Lytechinus pictus: one gene and its partner. The protein of the gene in region 1 interacts with the protein of each later gene in a pairwise test. Links are inferred from orthologs where the notes say so. Each region holds a gene or a part of one and is shown on either strand. Other genes may lie near its edges. The genes, in order: B-cell lymphoma/leukemia 11A-like and nuclear receptor subfamily 2 group E member 1-like.

Region 1 (7,304 bases):
TCGAGTGAAAATTAAAAAAAAATGTTGGATTCATGAAATACCAAGCCCTTTCCTCATTGTGAATGACGTCAGATAAAAAAAAATATTGTTGATTTTTTTATTACAATCAGGGTTGGCCAATTTGCCCTCGCTAATGTGAACAAGAATGGCAGCTGGTCAGAAAATAAAATTCACAAACTTATTGACCATTAACAAGCAATCAGCATTTCTAATTATTCTTGCACTGGTGAATCTCAATGAATTCTACCCGCAGTCCATCATTTATCAATAATTATGATTCACTTAAGTGTCAGCTGTCCAGATAGCATGCAATATCTTTTGCCTTTGACCAATCGACCAGTCACTGTGGTCAGTACAGTGTTTGAGTGACCTCCATTTCAACCGTTCCCAAAAGTCGGTCACTTATAGAAGATGACTGCAGAAGGAAATGCATGCATGTCTTAGATTCACATTGTTTGGTTATGTTTGGCTGTGAAATGTGTTTCAACCTATGACTTCTCTGAAAGTTAACTTTATTTGACTTTATTATATAGAATTGAGCTAATATCCTTGATTCAATATGATTGGTGGACAAAAAAAAATTGATGGGTCATGAGTCTTTGCTGCCTTGTTGATGTCCCACCAAGCAAGGTTTAAGAGTTTGGTATGATAAAATAGTTCAGGAAAATAGAGGTATAAATGTATTTCCTTTCATTAGTAAAATTTTAAATTCATGGAGGAAACAAACCATTTTCATACACAATTTATTTCCAAAAGCTTTAAAGGAGTTGAATGATAATTAGCGCATTGCATGCCTGCTAATGGCAGCCTATTGTTATAATTATTTATTTTTTAATGAGCTGTCTCAGACATAGGCCTGTCTAGCCAAGTACTAATTCTACTGGTACATATGAACTTTTGCTGACCTGGTTGATTTCAACCTAAACTTTATACTAATACTCACACCTCAGTGACAAAATATCACAATTCAATCTTACCGGGAATTATAACTGTGAATTAATACTGCCATTCTTTACACCTTCATAGTCATGGTTCAAAGAAGTAGGTCAAGAAAACGAGATAGGTGGATAGCGATGAAGGGGGGGGGGGCAGGTGGAGGTTGAGGGGATAAAAAAACACATCAGGAACATGTATGTAACACTTTCGGGGGTATAATGCGAAGAAAAAGGGGAATAGAAATATTAGGTCAGCAATTAATTAGATTTGTCTTTTGTGGAAGTAATGATCAGATGATGGTCAAATTAAAAGAGATGATGGTCATCGCTTTGGAACTAATATCCAAGGTCACTTTGACCAATCGAATCGTGATGTCTGGTGAAGAATTTAGACCTGATTAGGCTTGCATACGCTTGACCTACATTGCTACTAGATTCACAGATTTAACCACAATACACTTTAGACAAGAAAATTTGATGTTGTACTATAATTTTTTTCATTGCTGGTTGTTATATGAATAGATGATCTCTTTGAATTGACCCTTCTCCCTCCCCTATCATTTAATATAATTTGCATGCCAAGAAATATGAAGAATAAACTGATTAAAAAATTATCAAAATTTTATGTTGATACTCATCATCCTAAAAATTATGTAATATAAATTCACATAATATAAACATGTTTGTTCTGTCGAATAATGTGAAAGTTTTCTTTCATTTTTTTTAATTGACCTGCCTATGTCTAGCCATTGATGTTGATGACAATGCTGAACATGAAATTGATGTGTAATCCCAATTTCTTAAAAAATAATCATTAAGCCACTCCCTTATGAGAATAAAAGTTTCATTTAAATCAGATTCAAACTAGGAAGACTTCATGATATTTTAAGGTTTAGCTCAATTTCACAGAACAGTCATTTGCACACAAAAATCATAGTGATATGCAAAGTAGTGATGGCATCACACACTATTTTTTAAGATTTTAGTATATTTTTAATAAAATATTGAATATTTCAATTTTTCAAAAATTTGAAATAAAACGATGTGTTGGTTGAAAAATAATAACATACAATAATGGTGATTCTTTACATGTTCACTGAACAAGCAGACCATATATTACAAGGGGAAAATAGTGAAATATCATGTTTCAATTTTCAAATAGCAAAGTCCAAAAGTCATATTGTGTATGCAACATTTTTTTGTGAGATTGAGTACAAATTTAAAATTACATAACTTTCTTAATTTACTTCTACTTTTGATGACATATCAGTGTTGTGCTCATTCTATTCTTCTACTTTAATTCAAATCAATTAGTTGTTGAGAGCCCAACTAGGGATGCACTGATTTAAAAAAGAAACAATGTGAGAATTACATCAATTTATCAAGAAATAAATACAGAAAGTAGCAGTTTTTTTTTTATTCATAAGAAAGCTAGAGGGACCTTTATGAGAAAAGGTATATGTACATGTATAATGCATGCATTATTCTGTCTGCAAATAAGAGTTATGGATGCCATGCAGAATATTCATGAAGATGTTGAGTCGGTCAAATCCTAGTACATCCCACAGTGTCATATCATTATCCATTGGCAGTAATGCCAAACCAACTCATTTTATGCCTTTTTCTTTCCATCCATAAAGTTTCTATTGCTTTTCATTACAGCCTGCAGTTTGCATTTATTTATGAAGCTGTCCTCTCATTTTGCCTCAAAATATAGAATAAACTTTTTCATAACTTCATATATGACACCCAGTGTATAAATTCTATACAGTGCGTCCCACAAAAAACGAAACCGAGATTTATGGATGATTTATCATAACTTAATCACAAATACAATAGACAAGTGACCTACCATTGTAAAGCTTAGAATCTCCTCTTTCATCTGAAATTACTTAGATTATTCCGCATTTACGCATGAGTGAGCAAAAACAATTTGAAGAAAGGATACCAAAAAATCATTTGGCGGGGGGGTATCTGAATTTCAAAAAGAAAATCACATTCCTAAAAAGTTCAATATCTGCTCTTTTATTTGATACCTTAATCACAGAAAATGGTCAAGAAGTAAAAAAGTTCTGTTCCCTTGAATCAATGCTTGTATTTCCATAATTTCATTAAATAAACGTGTTTTCACCAGTTTCCCACAGAAGCTATCGCACGGTTAACAAAAGACTTAATGCATGGCTGATCCTCAAGAAAACGGAGTGTTGAGTGACTGTGAATGCTAGCCTGTAAAACCTCTTCATTTTATGAAATCATTGAAATTCAAGCTTTATTTCAAACAAGCAGAACTTTGTTATTTCTTGACCATTTTCTGTAATTAAGGTATCAAATTAAAGAGCAGATATTGAATTTTTTTGAAATGTGGTTTTCTTTTTGAAACTTCGATACAGCCCGCCAGGTGAATTTTTGCTTTTTTTTTGCTTACTCATGCGTGAATGAGAAATAATCTAACTAATTTCAGATGAAAGAGGAGATTCAAAGCTTTACAATGGTAGGTAACTTGTCTATTGTATTTGTGATTAAGTTATGATAAATCATCGATAAATCTCGGTTTCGTTTTTTCTGGGACGCACTGTATAATACTTTTCATAGAATTGAATTAGAATGCATTGACAGCCCATCATAGTTTTCCACTATGGATTAGGATTTATTGGCAGCTGGTTTAAGATTGTAAAGGGGGAGAATCTATTTCTAACCTACATTTTTATCACAGGGAATTGCGTAAAGATGAACATCTGATTAAGTTATTGTGATTTATTAAATGTCAATGACATACTTTCGAATAGTTATTTGATGAATTCTTTCTAAGCCCTGTATATTAAACATGTTAACACCCACTGTAAATATTTGAATTAACTATTCTCAGTTTTATAAAAGACTTATCTTTGGTTTAGTTACATGCATCTTTTGATATAAGCTTAGATTTTTATTATTTTATCTTAATTTCTCCTTCTTTTCTGTCATTTCTAGTTTCTTCCTTCTCATTTGCATTCTCTCTCCCTCTCCCCTGCTCTTAGCTTTAAGATTTGTTCCTTTTTATTTATGTGTATGTGATTTTAATAAATTTAATTTACCTCTAAAATATAATCATTCTTGATGCTTAATGAATTTTCCTTTCTATATTCTTTATTTCTCTTTGCAGATCCCCACGCAGCTGAAAAATACATATGTGTGTCTTGCAAGGGCTTGTTTGAGAATGCTGCAACGCTCCTGAAACATGCACAGGAAGACCATGGAATGCAGATATACACATTTCCAAAGGAGGAGAGGCCTTTCTCAAGGTCCCGGTCTGTGTCTGTGGAGTCGGTCTCTCAGGTGGACTCCCTCTCACCCAAGAGCACAACATCTAGCACCAGCAAGCAGCTTATTCCCAAACCAATAGAGAGCAGTTTACCACAAATTATTCACCCTCCACTGGCTCCTATACCAGTCCACAGTCCACATTCTCATCCTGTAGATGGTCACACGCCAACGTTTCCAGTCTTAATTCGTCCAACGGGCCCAGATAGGCTGTATTCACCTGGGTTGGAGAGGCTTTATCCCCATATAAATCACATGCACCGGAGGGATTTTCATATGCCTCCTCCAGAGAGTAGAATCACTGAGCTACCACCACATATATCTCCTGTCAGCATAGCCGACTTTCACACTCAGCTGCCATTTGTCCCCCCTCCACCGCCACCCCTACCGCCACCACACCTTCAACCGCAACATCAACATCAACATCAACATCAACCACCGACGGATTCCAGTGCTGCAAACCACTTGAAGCTGTTGGCCAAAAAGAGCCCACCACTCTCACCACACAGGCGTCTGCCTTACCCTGGCTATCCGACCCGCAGGTATCCATCTTTCTCGTCCAAGGGCAAGTCATGTGAATTCTGCGGGAAGACGTTCAAGTTCCAGAGCAACTTGGTCGTCCATCGCAGATCTCATACAGGTGAGAAACCTTTTAAGTGTCATCTGTGTGATCATGCCTGCAGTCAAGCCAGCAAGCTAAAGCGACACATGAAGACACACATGAATAAACCACCATCGGCAATGGGATCCGCTCCAGATATGGATGATAAGGATGAAAACAGCAATGAGGAAGAAGGGCAAGAGGGATCAATGGGCACCGGCGATAGAAAGAATATGAGTGATAGCTCCTCCCCAGAAGAGGAAGAGATGGAGGAGGAAGAAGAAGAGGAAGAGGAGGAAGAGGAGGAAAAGGAAGAAGAGGAAGAAGAAGAGGAAGAACCTGATGAGGCAGACATGGTTGATATAAAACCAAAGGAACCTGAAAGAGAGAATGAAGAAATAACTGTGAAGTCTGAAGGTGAAGCCAAATCATCAGAACAAGAATTTGAAGAGGAAAGATCCAAGGAAAGGAGGCCATCAAGCGCTGATGTGGAACGCGTGAGGAATGTGAGCAGAGGGAGTCCTAAAGGACTATCACATCATCATTCTTCATTGTTAAGTGAGATGATGGTCAATTCTGGATTAGATGAAATTCAGCAATACAGCGAAGCATTTAAGCAGGCCATAGCAGAACGGAATATAATCTTTGGAAAGCCTCGATCGTTGAGTGATGTATCGTCACCAGAAAACCACCATCCACGTAATTCTAACAGCAGGCCACCATCCAGACCACATGATCACCACAGTCCCATTGAATCAAGTTTGATGGCAAGGCTACGAGCAGAGCATACCCTTTTCCAAGGTAATCATCCTTTAACACAAGGTATAGTAGAGCGTAGTGCTATGTCTGACTTGGAACTGGTGACCAACCGCATCAAAATGGAACCATCAACATCATGGCCACCTTCTCCTTTAGCAATACATAGAGAACCACTCATGTCATCACCCGTCCGCTCGGATGCCAGCCCACTTGGAACAACAAATGGCGGTCCAGCTGCTTTCTTTGCTCAGCGTCGCTTCATAGAATCCAACGGTGGCATGCCATCCAACGCCGTACTGCCATACTCAAGTCCTCCCAATAGAATGAAGCCACAAAGGGCATCGGAGAAACGGAGCGATACCTGCGAGTTCTGTGGCAAGCGGTTCAAGAATTGCAGCAACTTGACGGTCCATCGTCGTTCACACACTGGTGAGAAGCCGTACAAATGTCAGCTGTGTTCATATGCTTGTGCTCAGAGTAGCAAGCTTACACGCCACATGAAGACCCATGGTCATGGTGCAAAAGAAGTCTTCAAGTGTGAGGTGTGCAACATGCCCTTCTCTGTCTACAGCACTCTAGAAAAGCACATGAAGAAAGAGCATTGGGGGGCCATCAAGGGGTTGGCTCCCCGTACCGACGCGGTGGGTGCACGAATGTACAGCTACAAGGCCAATCTACCAGGATTGTCTAAGTGATATGAGGTAGTCACTCTAAAAGAACAACCTCAAATCTACAAGACTTGCCTGTCTTGAATGAGAACAGCCACTCAAGGCTGGTTCTTCCTTGCAGCTGATTCCCGTCGTATTCACTCCATGGAGTGAAAATGTCTGTCTAGTATAACTGTAAATGTTCCACAACCCCTAGTTTGCAGTAGCTTCTTAGCAACTTGGATAGTGGTGATCAAATTATCACTCTAATTCCCACATGACAACTCTTTAGCCAGCCATGTACTGTCTTCATTACAAAACAGGCAAGTCATTTTTAGCAAGCTTACATTTGCAGCCTATTAATGCTCAATGCTATCTTTAAAAGCCTTTTGCTATTGAACATGATATGGGATATTTTTGTTCACTTATGGGCAGTCAAAACCGCTATACAGTGATTATTTATAAGAAATTTCTTCATAGAAATTTGATAATTTCTTCTGCAGAATCTGAGTCTGAAATAGAAAAATAAGTTGATAATGAAATGTACAAGTTTTTTCTACATTTGTGAATATCCTAAGATTTCCACTCTTCATGTATTTCTACGTGGGAGAATGGAGCTTTCCATGAAGTGAATTGGAGCTACAAGATATCCATTCCATGTCTGTCTGCCTGGTGTAGGGGTCTTATGTATAAAGTAGTGTAGGCAAAAATATAGCTTTCTTTATCCTGTTCTTGCATCTTCAAGCGAGCTTATCGCAACACAGGCCTGATGATCCTTAATATTCAAGTGGAATGTATGATGTATACATCGTTGGCTGCATATTACTATCATGGAATATTGATAAATATAATGTATGTAATTCATTGCCAAACTTTGAAATAATTAAACTATGAAATAATAAAGTAATGAAATTATGGAAATGTGAAATAAGTGAAATATTTAAAAATGAATCTCTTTAATGCTGTGATTGGATCATGCTGCACTGAATTATCCAAAGCACTTTATTAAATAAAAACTTTATTACAGCCTTTCAAGATGGGAATAAAGATTAACATTCATTA
Region 2 (7,240 bases), on another chromosome or scaffold:
ATCCAATCTATCCTATTCTATCTATCTATCTATCTATATATCTATCTATCTATCTATCTATCTATCTATCTATCTATCTATCTATCTATCTATCTATCTATCTATCTATCTATCTATCTATCTATCTATCTATCTATCTATCCAATCTACATTATCTATCTATCTATCTATCTATCTATCTATCTATCTACATAATCTGCCCGTCTGTTCGACTTGTTTGAAAAAGAAGAGCTCTTATATTTTAGAGAACACATAGCTCTTTATTTTGCGCATGCTTGATTTACAACTTTAATTTGAATCTACCCTTTTTATGAATATCCCAAAATATATTGATTTATATCATAATTAATAAATCAGATGAAGCACTTTTACCAATAAATAATATCTTTATATATGCCGACTTATTACATAATAGTAATAGATAATAGTAAAAGTACATGAATATTGATCTTTATCATGGTCATTTTAAGTATTTCAAGTACTGTATATCATTTTGTTTTTCCAATTTTCATTTTCATTCATTTCAATTTCCAACAATTACAATATAATTTTTGATTTCGTAAAGCTTGATATAAACAATAAACATATTGCAAAACTCTATACACAGACATGTTAGCAATGGTGGACGCTGCTACAAGCGGAGCTTGTAGAGTGCAGCCTCCTATTAAAAACATTCTTGTAAATAGTATATATTTAAAAAAATCTAGTAAGATAAGATGACAACGAGATGATTTCGGTTCTTTATCTTGCTAGACAAGATTTCTGAGATGAAATCAAGACAGAAAACGCCTCTAACAGCAAAACAAAGTTTGGTGTAAAAGCTGTTCGCCTTTCAACATTCTCTGGTATTCGAGGATTGGTGGCGTCGCATCGTTAGAGTGTGTACACCTGCATAGAATGGTGCCAACCTGGAATCCAGTGGGACCGCGATGTTAATTAAATGTGTGAAATGCAATAAACTCCGGATTAAGAAGCGTTCTGATGCAGAAAGCTAACATGTCTCGTGGTGTTGGTGGCTTCAAATTTAAGGTTATGTTTATTGATGTCTGATAGAAAAGCTATGAGGGCAAAAAAAGTTAACCGTGTGCACTTTGGAGATGTTAGACTCGGAATGTAATCATGGAGATAGATAGGCATACCCAGTAGAATGCGAGTCTGTTGACTGTTAACCTAAAAGGACTATTGTAATAACAGAAACAAACAAATATCAATAAATCGCATTAGGAGAATATATATATATATATATATATATATATATTAAAACGGACACAGAATGAAGTATACGAATACACAGTTAGATAAAGTGGGAAAATGTTCCAAAGTGATTTATATTGTTATTATTTATCATGACTGATACGATCATTGGTTTGTATTGAATATCAAACTAGAAATCAAACACATCTAAATAAACTAATCCAGATTTGAAATAAATGAAAGTATGCATATTTGTCGTTGTAGATTTAGATTTGTTTTCATCGTCCATAAGTATAGAAATACATGTTAGCTTAATGATAAAATATAAATAAATTTGACGACAAATGCAAAATGTTGTTAGCGTCACATTATATTGATAAAAATATAAAGCGTATAGAATCGTGGTCTAATGGTTCTGACTCTCGCCTTTCAAACAAAGGGTCGTGGGTTCGAATCCTAGCCATGGCGTGTTTTCCTTCAGCAAGAAATCTATCCACACTGTGCTGCACTCGACCCAGGTGAGGTGAATGGGTACCCGGCAGGATTAATGCATTGCGTGCACTGAGCGCCGGTGATGGTTGCTCGAGCTAAAGCCGGGGTAATAATAGCAGCGCTTTGTATCCTCAGGAAAAAAGTGCTTTATAAATCCAGCTATCATTATTATTAGAATTAGAATTGACTCTCGGACGAAGAGTTGCGAACACATTCAAATCAAACTCAAATTGTGATTGGCTTTTCGTAGCTGATGGGGAAATTTCTGAGCCGTCCAATTTTTTTTTCACAATCACAACCGTAACGACTGCCACGACTAACTTCAAGATATGATACGATATCTGACACGATCATTACGATTGCTCCACGATTTAGATCACGGGTTCAATCCTGACGCGAATCGCGTCAGTAAGAAATAGGTATTAACTACATAATTATAGATCAATCTCTATTCATTTCTATACAATCTATCGCAACTCTTCGTAAGGCATAAGAGCGGGCTTGTCAGGATAACGTGCTATACAGGGCAGTAGAGGTGGTCTTGCACGATTTCCTAAGAACTTTTCTTTCCTCTCTTTTCTTTACCTTTTTTAACTGATATAGATTCAACAAAGAAATTATTCTGTTTCGGAAAAAAAAAGGAAAGCAAATTAACAAGGCAACAATAGTCAAAACTGACTATAGTTTGCCTATTCAAACAACATTTGTAAGACGGGGTCACGATATCTATTGATATTGTATTTCCTACATTTATAACATAAATATGTTAATTATGCTATTTGAATAGAAAGTGATATTTACATAGAAAATTGATTAGCTTAAAAAAACAAATACTTCGGAGCTGTTCCCAGTTCTGAATCACGTAATGCTTTGAATAAATTTGTTAATCATGATATGTAATTTATATGATATAAAACAGTATGGACCTTTCAAAAAGTATTATTTAAGTATTTCATATACTTACTTATTTTGATTGTATGTCGTTGCTCTGGACGAATAATGCTCGGTGTCGAAATCGATGTCAGTGTGAGTTTAGGCGCCGTCAACCCCGTGGTCGTTGAAAACGAACGATGATGACTATCTTCATCGAAGCTCAGGATGTCCATTTTAATACAAAGTCCAAAAATGATTCAAATCTTTGTGTGTTTTTTTGTTAACAAGAAGGGCGTCTAAACTAATTAACGAGTATACAAAAGGCAAGGCAACTAAGTCAGTACATTTTCTGAATTGAGCAAAAGTTTGAAGAAAGTATGCAATTTTCTCTTCATACGATAAAAAAGCAAATCAAAGTTCCACGTGAAGAAGAAAAACAAAGTTATATAGAGGCATACATCAGTTTTGAAGATTAAAAGATTAAGCTCAACCTTTATCAATGCTTTGGGTTTAATCGGTAAAAGTCTTCTAAAGACAAAACAAGCTCACTTGTAGTCCAAAACTGTTAATAATCTTGATCTTAACCGATCTGCTTGATGGAGAAATATATCCAGAGAGGGCTTTCGACCGGCAAAAGAAAAGGTTTGTCTTTAATTGGTGTACACCGACTATATGAGGCAAGTGCATATACGATCGAATCATTTCCCAGTGACGTCATAATTTATCAAGCAAGCAATGGGAGGATTGGCGGGTTATGATGTATCATTTATTAGAGTGCATAGAACAGGGTAAATCCCCCGAAAGATACAGAGTGTCCAAACAAAATAAAATGTACGCCTTTAGAATGATAATGATAGAAAATAACGATGTCAAAACCTGGTATTGTCATCCTTATCCTTGGGCTAGTCTAAAGGGGCATTCTTGGTAGTCAATCATGATCCACTTTTTGAATAATAACATAAACAAGTAAAAGTTATTTCGAATTGTTTTTCTGTAAACTCAATTATTACACTTATCATTCACATTAAATTTTGGGACGAGAATCGAAATTCTGATAAAGTGATGATAAAAACACAACAAATGGCCGATTACACTTTAGAAATACAGATACCCCCACATAAATGTCTTGCGAGACATAGGCCTATATCAGTACAACTGAACTTTATTTGGATACCTTAGCAACCATGGTAATGAGAACCTATACATCTGACCGGCTTAGACGCGTCTGCGCATGTCCAGTTTTCAGTCTGACTATGGCCCTTTCTCATTACTCCCACTTCTAAATCGAATATTATACTACCACTATACCACTACCGCCGCCATCACTTCTATTATTACTACTACTACTACTACTATACTACCACTACTACTACTACTTCTAACTACTGTTACTACTATTATACTACTTTTTCTCCTGCGGCTCCTTTTCTATATACTACTTCTATTATTGCTATTTCTACTACTACTACTACTACTACTACTACTACTACTACTACTACTACTACTACTACTACTACTACTACTACTACTACTACTACTACTACTACTACTATTTCTACTTCTACACTACTACTACTACTACAACTACTACTACCAAATAAATGAATAGAAATTCGTGGGGGGGGGGGGGGTCCCGTGATCGGCGCCTACGATTACAATCACGTCTAAAGTTATCAATATATTTGTAATAGTTGTAATATGGCCGAACATATTTTTCTTGTGCTAATTCTGTGGGGTTTTTTAAAATTATTGTCTAGTATCTTGACTTAGCCTTTTGTTTTAAAGTATGCTGCGCTTCATTACCAATCACTTTTAGACTGAGAATACACAATACTTTTTGACTTTATAGGTATATAGGTCTTGGGAATTAAATAGACTTCTGCTCGGAGTCATTCCACATCAACTTTTATTATCCCATAACCTAGCTGCTGCTTGACTACCTAATGTTTTATTGAGTGGCATTTATAAGTGAGGTGACGTTAACGAGCGGAAAACATTCAATTATAATTAATTTTTTCGATTTTCCCGACAGCAAAACCCCGTTCATTTCCAATCGAATTGTGTATGGGATTCGTTGATAGAGTTGATGAGTGCTATTGCGTAATGAGCCATTTGGATAACTTAGTAAGCCTAAAGCTGAAAGGCTAAAAAGGTGCGTGAACATCAGATAGATTATAGATCTTTGGGTTAGATATTCTAAAATAACTATTTTGAGTTATGGTGAATGAAGGCAAACCAAACAGTGAACAGATACATACACCTATTCTGTTTGCTTAGCATCAATATATATTTTCTCCTCTTTTTTTGCTCTTTTCTCTTGCTTCTTAGCTACTGCCTCAACCGAATTCTTTGTTTGTTTTTTAACCGATTTTGAAAGTTTGTGTATGTGTGGATATGTATGGATGGCGCGGGGGGGGGGGGGCTTGGCATGCATTACATAAACATTTGAAGGTAATTTCTACGTTTTCATACACTGAAAAAAGGTTTGGGGGGCTGAAGCCCCAGACCCCAGCCAATCTGGGACCCGGGGGCATGAACTTGGCACAATCTGGGCATGCTTGCATGTACAAATAGTAAGCCTATATAATCATGATAATATTGGTCTACTATTTGACAGAGTGGCAAATCACCGCCTTTGGATCAATCGATAAAGGACTGACCAAATTTTGTCAACTTAGGATTTGAATGAAGGCGTATTATAGTGTATATTTTTTTGCAATTTGCTAAAATCATCGATTCACCAAAACTGACCGACATATACGTATAGTTATTTTGTAAAAAAAATCAAGAGACCATTTCATATTCTTTTCTATCTTTATAAAGATCAGACAAATATTTTGCAAAATTTGAAAGTAAATTACCAAAATTATATGAAACTAAGCCCCCCGCAAATATATTAATTCTAATCAGATTTTTAAAAATTCATTATTAGATATTTCATCTTTAAATTAAATGATATAAATGACTAAAAAAACACTGAAAATCCAACCGATAATCGAGAAATTATTTTGTGAAAGAACCGACATGTTGATATCTTCTTTAGATCGCCATAGAGAATATTTGGCCCCGTTCCATAAAACTTTTGATTGCTTTCAAATGCAAAATTTCTATGAACTGTTAATAAATGAATTACAAAAGCCAATCAAACTCCATGATTTGAGTTGTTTTTGTCAGTTTTAACAAGAGGTTCTACGATATTGGGCCTAAAATCTATTGTCCGCTGTGATCAGTAGTTTGATCCGTTAGGAATAAGATTTTGTCTTGGCGGGTGCATGCTCGACTGCCTGTCGTATAGGCCTATCACTAACACTATTTGGGTTTAAATGAAATGAAGCACACCTTAGATGGGCATATATGGATTACGAGAAGGTTATAGCTTTGCGTTATACTTTGAGCCAAAATAAGAGTTTGAATATCATTATGACAATACGAGTCTGAAATTGTGGAGATATATTCACATGGAAATTAATATATTACAGTCAATTTATTTGTGAATATCAAACAATATCCAAAAGCATGAAAAATAAACAAGGAATCGAGAAGTTTCCCTCTGGAATGTATGGGGTGTACGTGTGTATGCAGGGGCGGCATCGGGATGATTTATAGTTACGTGACTCTCTTTTTTAATGTTCTTCTTTAACCCTATTCTTTTCTTCCACATTTTCATTACTTGAAAACAAGCAGGGAGTGTCTTTTCTCTTGAAGCACCACCACTGTGTGAGGGTGTGTGTGTCTGGGCGGTATACGTTTGTACGTGTGAAGGGTGGGGGAGGTCTGCAGCTCAACCCCCCTGAATGCGGGCCCACTGCAAAGCAGTTATCCCCCATCATTCACACAATATTTCAAAATTGTGAAAATGTATCTTACAAATCAAAGAACAATTCACTTCTATTACTGATAAATCAACTCACTGCCCTTATCGATTTTCTTAATGCATGTGGATTCCAGCGGAAAACACAAATCTATAAAAGGCTACTTACTTCCCAGGGAACTACACCAACTGCACAAACAACCGCCTGCATTATGACATCACTATTAACAAGTCGTGTTTAGACGTAAGGTTATAAATATTCGTAATGTATCATCGTCTGAACATCTCGCAATTCTTATTAGGTTCTAGAACTTGTAACAGAAGATTTGCAATAAATCACAACTTGATTTTAAACCAATCAAAAACGCTTATTTTGGACTATTCGTTTGTGTATTGATGTTTCTGCGTTTAACTGTTAAACTCAGCTTTTTTTTCTGAAACAGGTATCTGTGGTTACACAAACATTATAATGATAATGACAAAGAGCTAAAAGTTTTCTTCAATTTTATTCTTAATTCTTCATTTTGTGATAAAACATTATGTTTTGATAGTATTTTTTCTGTATAAATATTTTATTTTAATTAGTAAACCCCATTTTCAGCTCTCATTAATATGTTTAACGTTGCATGCGCACTATTCGATTTGTAAATTTTGGCGCGATTCGAACTCACAGGCTATAATATTTAGCCATAAATAATATGCTTCTAAAGAAAAAATATGAAATTCTGTATTCAGGAACGAACCAACGGCCTATAACTTTAGATAAACTGTATTGATATCGGTGGCGGCACCAGGGGCATGCGGACACATAACCTGTTGCCTTCGCCATCCAGCTCCTGAATTATTGTCAGAAGATGTGTACCAAAGAAA

Evidence for each region.
Region 2: the proteins of B-cell lymphoma/leukemia 11A-like (region 1) and nuclear receptor subfamily 2 group E member 1-like interact in a two-hybrid assay, tested with the Homo sapiens proteins (2 studies listed by BioGRID). The link is inferred for Lytechinus pictus from reciprocal best matches to the Homo sapiens genes BCL11A and NR2E1.

The regions. Positions count from the first base shown.
Region 1 is NC_087251.1:19,343,375-19,350,678, reverse strand, and holds the start of B-cell lymphoma/leukemia 11A-like, read left to right. Parts: upstream 1-4,081; 5' UTR 4,082-4,172; coding exon 4,173-6,290; 3' UTR 6,291-7,304. UniProt on the Homo sapiens protein: Transcription factor. Associated with the BAF SWI/SNF chromatin remodeling complex. Binds to the 5'-TGACCA-3' sequence motif in regulatory regions of target genes, including a distal promoter of the HBG1 hemoglobin subunit gamma-1 gene.
Region 2 is NC_087248.1:12,707,852-12,715,091, reverse strand, and holds the start of nuclear receptor subfamily 2 group E member 1-like, read right to left. Parts: upstream 3,234-7,240; 5' UTR 2,793-3,233; coding exon 2,651-2,792; intron 1-2,650. UniProt on the Homo sapiens protein: Orphan receptor that binds DNA as a monomer to hormone response elements (HRE) containing an extended core motif half-site sequence 5'-AAGGTCA-3' in which the 5' flanking nucleotides participate in determining receptor specificity.